2 linked regions of the Caenorhabditis elegans genome follow. The protein of the gene in region 1 interacts with the protein of each later gene in a pairwise test. Each region holds a gene or a part of one and is shown in the gene's direction. Other genes may lie near its edges.

The links. Proteins that work in one complex are often made in the same cells at the same time.
Region 2: the proteins of etfb-1 (region 1) and gip-1 interact in a two-hybrid assay, tested with the Caenorhabditis elegans proteins (one large-scale study listed by BioGRID).

The regions. Positions count from the first base shown.
Region 1 is NC_003279.8:2,417,933-2,422,032, reverse strand, and holds etfb-1 (Electron transfer flavoprotein subunit beta), read left to right. Parts: upstream 1-1,679; 5' UTR 1,680-1,686; coding exon 1,687-1,734; intron 1,735-1,994; coding exon 1,995-2,462; intron 2,463-3,184; coding exon 3,185-3,436; 3' UTR 3,437-3,572; downstream 3,573-4,100. Other genes in the region: did-2 (Charged multivesicular body protein 1b), read left to right, coding at 336-369, 428-534, 595-1,071; F23C8.13 (PDZ domain-containing protein), read right to left, coding at 3,576-3,662.
Region 2 is NC_003281.10:2,345,695-2,350,651, forward strand, and holds the start of gip-1 (Gamma tubulin complex component protein N-terminal domain-containing protein), read left to right. Parts: upstream 1-1,896; 5' UTR 1,897-1,900; coding exon 1,901-1,973; intron 1,974-2,942; coding exon 2,943-3,035; intron 3,036-3,084; coding exon 3,085-3,342; intron 3,343-4,552; coding exon 4,553-4,757; intron 4,758-4,957. Other genes in the region: phf-5 (PHD finger-like domain-containing protein 5A), read left to right, coding at 720-887.

The DNA.
Region 1 (4,100 bases):
TTGTGCGATTTTATCTATCGGTGAAATTACGATGTTAATTTTTTCAAATTCATATAGCGGATCTGGAAATATTTTTGACGTTGATAATTTTGTGTTTTATAGCCTGAAACCGACTTAAAATACAGAAATTTCTACAACCCAAAATTGTCGTAAGATCCGCTGCTTGCGGACATCAAGTGTCGTCGTTTATGACGTAAAGTCCGCAGATACACACACATGACTCATGAATTTGTTTTTATCGCTTTCTTGCGAAATTTAACTTATAAAAGCACTTTCTCACCGTAATTCTCGTATTTCAGAAACTCAAATACCAGCTTAATACACATAAAATCATCATGGGAGCCGGAGAAAGCAGTATGGCCTTGGAAAGTGAGTTTCAAATTGATTTCTCTTGATTTTGACTTATTTTCATGTTTTTATCTTCCAGAACACTTATTTGATCTTAAATTCGCAGCGAAACAGTTGGAAAAGAATGCTCAACGATGCGAGAAGGATGAAAAGGTCGAGAAAGACAAGCTGACGGCAGCTATTAAGGTAAAAAATAATTAAAAATGAAAAAAAAAACAATTATTTTTTAAATTCGATTTTTTCCAGAAAGGAAACAAAGAAGTCGCACAGGTTCATGCTGAAAATGCGATCAGGAAGAAGAATGAAGCAGTGAACTACATTAAAATGGCCGCCAGAATCGACGCAGTGGCCGCCCGAGTTCAAACCGCCGCCACACAAAAACGAGTAACCGCCAGCATGAGCGGCGTAGTGAAAGCCATGGAAAGCGCCATGAAGAGCATGAATCTCGAGAAAGTTCAACAGTTGATGGATAGATTCGAAAGAGATTTCGAAGATCTCGACGTGACCACAAAGACGATGGAAAAGACGATGGACGGAACGACAGTGTTGAATGCTCCGAAGTCACAGGTGGATGCTCTGATTGCAGAGGCCGCCGACAAGGCAGGCATCGAGCTCAACCAGGAGCTTCCGTCAAACGTGCCAACTGCTCTGCCGACCGGGACGCAAGCTGTTTCAGAAGACAAGGACCTCACAGAACGCCTGGCTGCTCTTCGCAACATGTGATCTTCCAGATTTCTCAAGAAATTTCTGTGAATATGAATATTCTGCTGACGGTTTCATTTTTAAAATTAAGATACTGCTTTTTTTCTTGTATATACAACATTTCTCTCAATAATGAAGCAACAATTTTTCTGCTTTTTTTTTGTTTTATCTAATCTATCTAGATCTACGAAGTTCAGCTCATGTCTTCTTCGAAATATTTATTCTTTTATTTTTCAGAACATTTTTTCTACAAATCGGTCGCTTACGTGTAGGCCACAACAATCACCGCCCGCGTTTCATTCTCTGCGTCTCTCGTCTTCCCACACTCTCTCTCCACATCGTCTTATCTCTCTCATCACTTGTTTTATTATTTTTATTCTTATTTTTCACGAATTTTCTATAAAAAACGGAATTTTCGAAGGTTTTTAAGGAAAAACGTGGCAGTTTTAAAGCTATTTTAAACATTTTTCGGCTAAAATTTCGAATTTCGGCTTTAATTAATTGATTCAAATTTAAAAATCAAATTCTGAACTCTGAAGTGTGTACTTTGACCCCGCCGCCGCTGTTTTTTTCGATCATTTCTTCATTTATTAATAAATAAATAAATTTATTCCCAGTTTTTCTTCCAGCCAAGCGATGAAGATTCTCGTCGGAGTCAAGAGAGTTGTCGACTATGCTGTCAAGGTAGGATTTCAGGAAAAAGAGCAAAAAATTCGAAAAAACAGCTTAATTTCGGCGAAAATCTTGAATTTCACCAACTTTTCCGTGTCGCAGCAGTTGGAAATCAGTTTTTTGTCATTTTTGGCTCAAAGTGTACCCCAATCAACGGAAAATCGATTAAAATTGGCAATAAAAGCTGATTTCCAACCGCTGTGACACGGAAAACTTGGATAAATTGGAGATTTTAGACACATTTCGATTCTATAAAAGCCCAAAATTTCCAGATCCGTGTCAAGCCGGACCGCTCGGGAGTCGTCACCGAAGGAGTTCAACACAGCATGAATCCATTCGACGAGATCGCTTTAGAGGAGGCCGTCAAGCTCAAGGAGAAGAAGCTCGCCACCGAAGTCGTCGCGTTCTCGCTCGGCGGACCAAAATCCGCCGAAGTGCTCCGGACCGCGTTGGCGAAGGGCGCCGACAAGGCAGTTCACGTTCAGGTGACCGACGCCGAAGCTGGCAAGCTCGAGTCATTCCACGTGGCGAAGGCGCTTCAGAAGATTGTCGAGCAGGAGAAGTTCGACGCGGTTTTTCTCGGAAAGCAGGCAATCGATGATGATTCGTCGCAAACTGCTCCGATTCTCGCTGGCCTGCTCGAGTGGCCACAGGCTCTCTACGCGTCGAAGGTTGAAGACGCAGGCGCTGGACACATGAAGGTCACCCGTGAAATTGATGGAGGTCTTGACACGATTAAGGTGATTCTTACTATATCGATCGATAGCCGTGAAAAGCAGCCCCGCACAGAACGCGAGACGGGGCTTGATATTGCAACCCTGCGGCACGGTTTTTCCTTTTTCCGCTTGTTTTTTGTTTGATTTTTTCAATTTTTCATGTTTTAATCTCTTTTTTCGAATGAGAACGTTATTTAATTTAAAATCAAAATTTATTAATCGATCCTTAAATTTTGCAAAAATTTGTCGCACAGAAAGTGGGGCGGAGCGTAGCTTACGCAACACTGCCGCACGGGGTTTGTCTCCGCCCCTTTTCCACTGCTTTTTTTGTTGATTTTTTCAATAAAGTTTCGATTTTTCTCTTTTTTTTCGAATTGGATTTTCATTCGAAAAAAAAAGAAATTATTGAAAAAATCAACAAGAAAAGCTTAAAAGCAGTAGAAAAGGGGCGGAGGCAAACCCCGTGCGGCAGTGTTGCAAAAGCTATGCCCCGCCCCACTTTCTGGGCGACAAAATTTCTTGCAAAATTCAAGGATCGATTAATAAATTTTGATAGTTAATTAAATAACGTTCTTATTCGAAAAAAAAGGAGATTAAAACATGAAAAATTGAAAAAGCGAAAAAAGGAGGAAAAACCGTGCCGCAAGGTTGCAAAATAACGCCCCGCCCCTATTTCTGCGCGCCGCTATTTTGTTTGCAAAATTCACGGATCTAAAGTTTTATTCGAAAAATTTTCTATTTTCCAGGTCAAAGTGCCATTCGTCCTATCCGCCGATCTTCGCCTCAACGAGCCCCGCTACGCGACTCTTCCAAACATCATGAAGGCCAAGAAGAAGCCACTGAAGAACATTCCAATCAAAGATCTGAATGTAGATATCACACCACAAACTGAAACTCTTGAAGTCACCGAGCCACCAGTTCGCCAGGCCGGAGGATTCGTCGACGATGTCTCGGCACTTGTCGCCAAGCTCAAGGAGAAGGGATTCGTCAAGGCTTAAGCCCCCGATAACCTCTTCCGCCGCTGAATTATTGTAGTAGTCGAATCAGAAAATTTTGTATTTAAATTATTTTTATTATTTTTTCTATTCAATGTTTTATGTGATGCAGGTTTAAAAAAGTATGAAAAATTATTTTTGTTCATAAAAGTGAATAGCTTGAACGGGAAACGATCAAAAAACGGAATGCATTGTTCACAAAACCATGGGAGAATTGGTGTAGGTAGATCTGGAAATATTACGGATTATTATCTGGGCGCGAAAAATTACGCGCCCCGCCCCTAAACGATGGGTCTCGTTAGGTAAATATTTGGCGGCAAGACGGGAAATTCAAATGTTTTACATTATTCTTGCCAATTTTTAAGCTTTTTTTCATATTTTTTATAAGTTTTAGGTCGAAATAACGATTACTTCCGACGATTTTACCCGTTTTCAAGCATTTTTCGTTATTTTTTATGTTTTTATGCCGAAATTATGGTTAAAAATGATTATGACATTAACTTTTTCAATTTTGACAAAAAAAAACTCATTGAAAACAGCGAAAAATGCTGGAAAATTGGCAAAAACGGTTTTCCCGCCAATTCCTAACGAGACCCAACGGTTTGGGGTGGAGATTTGTCCGTGGAGCGCAATTGCACTTTATAGTATTACGGAAACTCACACATTC
Region 2 (4,957 bases), on another chromosome or scaffold:
ATAAATTTTTAATTTTTAATCTGAAAATTCCCGTGAAAAATGGGAAAATTTTCGAATTTTTCATGTTTTTTCGACTAAAAAGTCGAAAATTTTGTGAAATTTCTCGAAAAAATTGAAGTTTTCTCAATTTTCCAGCTTTTCCCCCTCAAAATGCTCCAATTTTCAGGATATTTTCATATATATTTTTTTTTTTTTTTTTTTTTTTTTTAAATTGTGAAAAACGTTGAAAAGTTCACTTTGGAAAAAGAAAAATATGGAAAAATTCAAATTTTCCACTAAAAATTGACATTATTTGCGGAAATTACCAGCTTTTCGGCGTAAAAAACGCTAAATTTGTCAGTTTTCCGCAAAAAATGCTCGAAAATCCAAAATTTTGTGAAATTTCTCTCAAAAAACGCGTGAAAAACGCTATTCAAAAAAGTGCAATTTTCAGCTTTTTTTTACTAATTTTTTCTTTAAAAAATTCAAATTTTTGACTGGATTTCTTCAAATTCTCCATTAAAAACGGGTTTTTACTCAGAAAAGAGGGGAAAAACCAGGAAAATTGAAAAATTTTCATATTTTTCGACTGAAAAATGCAAAATTTTGTGAAATTTCTCTCAAAAAACGAGTGAAAAACGGCAAAATTTACAAATTTTTCTAAAAAAAAATCGGAAAAACGCGAAATTTTCATGTTTTTTTTCGGCTAAAAATTAAAATTTCCATTTTTTTTTTTGCAGGGTCGGTGTGTGATTTGTGGTGGCGCTGGCGTCAGTGATGCATATTATTGCAAAGAATGCACAATTCTCGAAAAGGATCGTGACGGATGCCCGAAAATTGTGAATTTGGGAAGTGCGAAGACGGATTTGTTCTACGAACGAAAGAAATTCGGATCGAAAAAGTCGTAGAAATTGGCTTTTTGGCGGCGAAAATGAGCGAAAAATCACAAAATTTCGCCGAATTTTCACCTATATCACCTCTAATTTATCAAAAATGTTCCAATTTTCTGTTAATTTCCACTTTTTTCCGCTGAAAATTCCTATTTTTCTTGAAATCTGACTGAAATTTGGCTAAAAATGAGCTGGAAATATCGAAATTTGGCTGAAATCGTAAAATTCCCTTTTTGTTCCCTGAAAATTGAGCAAAAATGTCAAAATTTTGGCATTTTTGACCAAATTTTGCCTATTTTTGTGAAAATTTGCCTTTTTTTTTCGTTGTTTTTATCGAAATTTTGCTGAAATCGCGATTTTTTCCACTATTTTTCCCTAAAACATCCCTTTTTTACTGGAAATTTGGGCAACATTTTGGCATTTTTGCCTATTTTTGTGAAAATGTTACCATTTTATTGAAAAATTAGCTTAAAATGACAATATTTTCCTAAAAATTTCGAATTTCCGTGAAAAATAGCCAAAATGTCACTTATTTCAGTTAAAAATATGCCATTTCCCTGAAATTTGGCTGAAAATTCGCCTATTTTCACTTAAAATTCCGCAAAAAGCCCTTTTTTTCACTCAAAATGTTCAATTTTTCCCTGAAATTTGCCTGAAAAATCGATATTTTCACTCATTTTCACCTTAAAAATTGTCTTTTTCCCCCATTTTTTCCAATTTTCCTCTACCCTTTTATCAATTTTCGAATAAATTATCGATTTTTCTGTAATTTTTCCCTTTTTTTGCTGTGTTGTGCTGGTTTTGTTACCTATTTGTGTATATTTATCTCTATTTTTTACGGGAATTTTCAGTTTTCCCCGAATTTTTCTGAATTAAAATCACTAAAAATCGATTTTTCTTCCTGAAAATTGGGTAATTTTGCGAGAAATTTAATTTTTGTTTAAAAAAAAACTAAAATCTGAATATTTTTTGGAGAAAATTAACCAAAAACTTGAAATTTTATGAAAAAAAAATGGAAAAATTTCAGATAAATGCGTCGACAAGGCAGCGAAGAAGTTGAAGCTGTACAGCAATTTTTAAATGCTTTCGGGTTTCATGATAGAGGTAATTGGATTGAATTTTAGAAGAAAAAACACCGAAAAAGCCGAAAAATTGACTGAAAAATCGAATTTCTGACGAAAAAATGAGATTTTCCATAAAATATCAATAATTTCAAGTAAATATTCGAATTTCGAGGGGTACGGTAGCACCAAAAGTACGCAAACACTGTGGTACACCAAATCTTACGACATTTTGCAGAAAAACTCCTGAAATTATAATAAGAGTTCAGATTTTTTTCATCAAAAGAATATATTGGTGGCCGAACTCCTTGGATTTTTTTAGGCCACGATTTTCTGAGCCAAAAATTTTATTTTGAATTTTTCGTTCAAATCTCGTTTTTTACTAGAGAAACTCCAATTTCGGCTTTTTTTCTCTTGGTTGCCTAACTTTTTTTTTAGATTTCTAGGCCACCCATTAAAAATAGACCGTTTTATTTGATTTTCTACATAAAAACGGGGATTTTGAATTTTGAATAATTCAAATTTTAAAACCAAAATTTTAATTTTAAGTCTTTTTTTTTTTTGAGATATTTGAAATTTTCTAGACGGTTTTTTGGTGATGAATCGGTTTTTATTAGAATTTCAACTATAAAAACCGAATTCTAGTCAGTTTTTGGATTTAAAATCAATTGGTGGCCGAACTTGTTGGATTTCTAGGCTACCAAACTTCTGAACATTTTCCCCTGTGACTCTTGTGCCTCTATTCGTATTGATTGCAGTAAAAACGGGTATTTATTCACATTTTTAGCCTTAAATTGGCTTAAAATGTGAATAAATACCGTATTTCTGCAAACAATTTGACAATAGAGCACATTTGTCACTTGGAGATGCGGAAGCTATGCCCAAATTTTCATTTTCAAGCCGAAAAACTTGTGAATTTTCGCGATTTTTGCACAAAAAAAACCATTTTCAGCCGATTTTTCCGTAGAAAAACGGATTTTTAATCAAAATTTTGCAATTTTCTGTATTTCAGATGTGATAAAAGTTCAAGAAGGGCTATTCCACAGCCGTCAGCTCAACGATGTGAACGCTTCGAGAACATGTGTAGATCAATTTGTTAAGAAATGTATGAAATTCCAGGGAAAAAACCAAAAAAAAAAGCGGCAGTTTTCCAGGCGAACTTCGTGATCCGAACGGAATAAAACCGCTTCGCAAAAAAATCGATGCTCTGATGAACGAATCGGTAGAAATGAATTATATGATGGATTTTCTTGTGAGATGTCGACAGGCTCACTTATTTCATAATGAAACAATAAGAAATAGTCCGAGTATTGGTCTGGGATCCATTGGAGGTACCCCGACCAATTCGATTCCATCCTCATCGCCGTTTCAAAGAAGATCTGCAAGTCGTGGACGGGTGCTCAGCACGCTGAGTTCGGTGTTTTACCGGTTTTAGCCGCGAAAAATTGTGAAAAAACGGAGCAAATATCACTGAAAAGTCGATAATTTATTTGAAAATTGACATTTATTTTCATTAAAAATTCGAAAAATTAGACATTTTCGGTCAAATTTGACCTGAATTTTATAAAAATATTTTTTTTCTCCTTAAAAGTTGAAGATTGTGCTTATTTTTGTTCGATTTTCGAGAAAAAATGCTGAAATAAAACCTACAAAAATGTGGAAAATTGAAAAAAAAAAGTTTTTTTTTTCATTAATTTTCAATAGAAAAAAAAACGAAATTTTTGCCATGATTAAGTGGCCGAACTTTTTGGATTTCTAGGCCACCAGTCGGAAAACTCGGATTTTTAGAAATTTTTTATTAAATTTCTAATTCTCAAGCAACAATTATTGCGTTTTTTTTCATTAATTTTTTTTTAATTTTTGAGGCTTTTTTTTGGCGAAGAGTCGCTTTTTAATCGAATTTTGAATATAAAAACTGAATTCTATGTGGTTTTTGGATTTAAAATCATTCGGTGGCCGAACTCTTTGGATTTCTAGGCCACAAAATTTTTGAACTATTTTCCCCTGTGACTTATGTGCCTCTACTCGTTTTTTTTTGTTTGCACTAAAAACTGTATTTATTCACATTTTCATCCTCAAATTGGGCTGAAAATGTGAATAAATACCGTATTTCTGCCAACAATTTGACAATAGAGCACATTTGTCACTCGGAGATGCGGAAGCTATGCCCAAATTTTCATTTTTCACCCGATTTTTAGCATATTTTTGGGGTTTTGATGGATTTTAAGTGTTGAAATCGGTTTCAGCTAAGAAATTTTCGGTGACCGATCTTTATGGAATTCTAGGCCACCAAGCTGATTTTGAGCCAAAAAGCTATGCTCAAATTTTTATTTTCGCAATAAGATTTGCAATTTTCCATAGAATCATTCCACAAAAATCAAATTTTGAGCAAATCCCCAAACACTGTGGCCTAACTTTTTGCAAGTTTTTAGGCCACCCATTAGAACTTTGGCGTTTTTTCTCGAATTTTCTACAAATTTCTATGTAAAAATGTATTGAAATTGAGAAAAACTACAAATTCAAGCCTATTTTCGCTTTAAAAATCATGAAAAATCATTTTTTTTTAATTGGAAATTCACAGAAAATTGGCGAATTTTTCCATAAAACTAGTGAATTTTCCAGCCGGAGACCAACAAACTCCATCAATTGCCGATTCATCGTCTCGTTCTCGTGCCAATTCCTCATTTACTGCCTATGACAATCGAATGCTTGGAATGGAACGCCAATTGGCTGGAAATATGGCTCAACGGCCACGGAGTCCGTATACAATTAATGGAATACCAACTACGAGGGTTCAGCCGATTAGCGCCAGCAATCAGCTTTTTACGTGCGTAATTTTCGAGAAAATTTGAGGAAATTTGGTTGAAAATACCGAATTCACCGCTAATTTTCACCCCTAGCACACTTTTTCCGGGTTACTGTAGCTTTAAAAGTACGCCAACACCAGATCTAACGACATTTTTCAGAAAATCGCGAAAAAATGAGTTTTTGTGATTAAAAATGGCTCAAATTTTCAAGTTTTTTGAA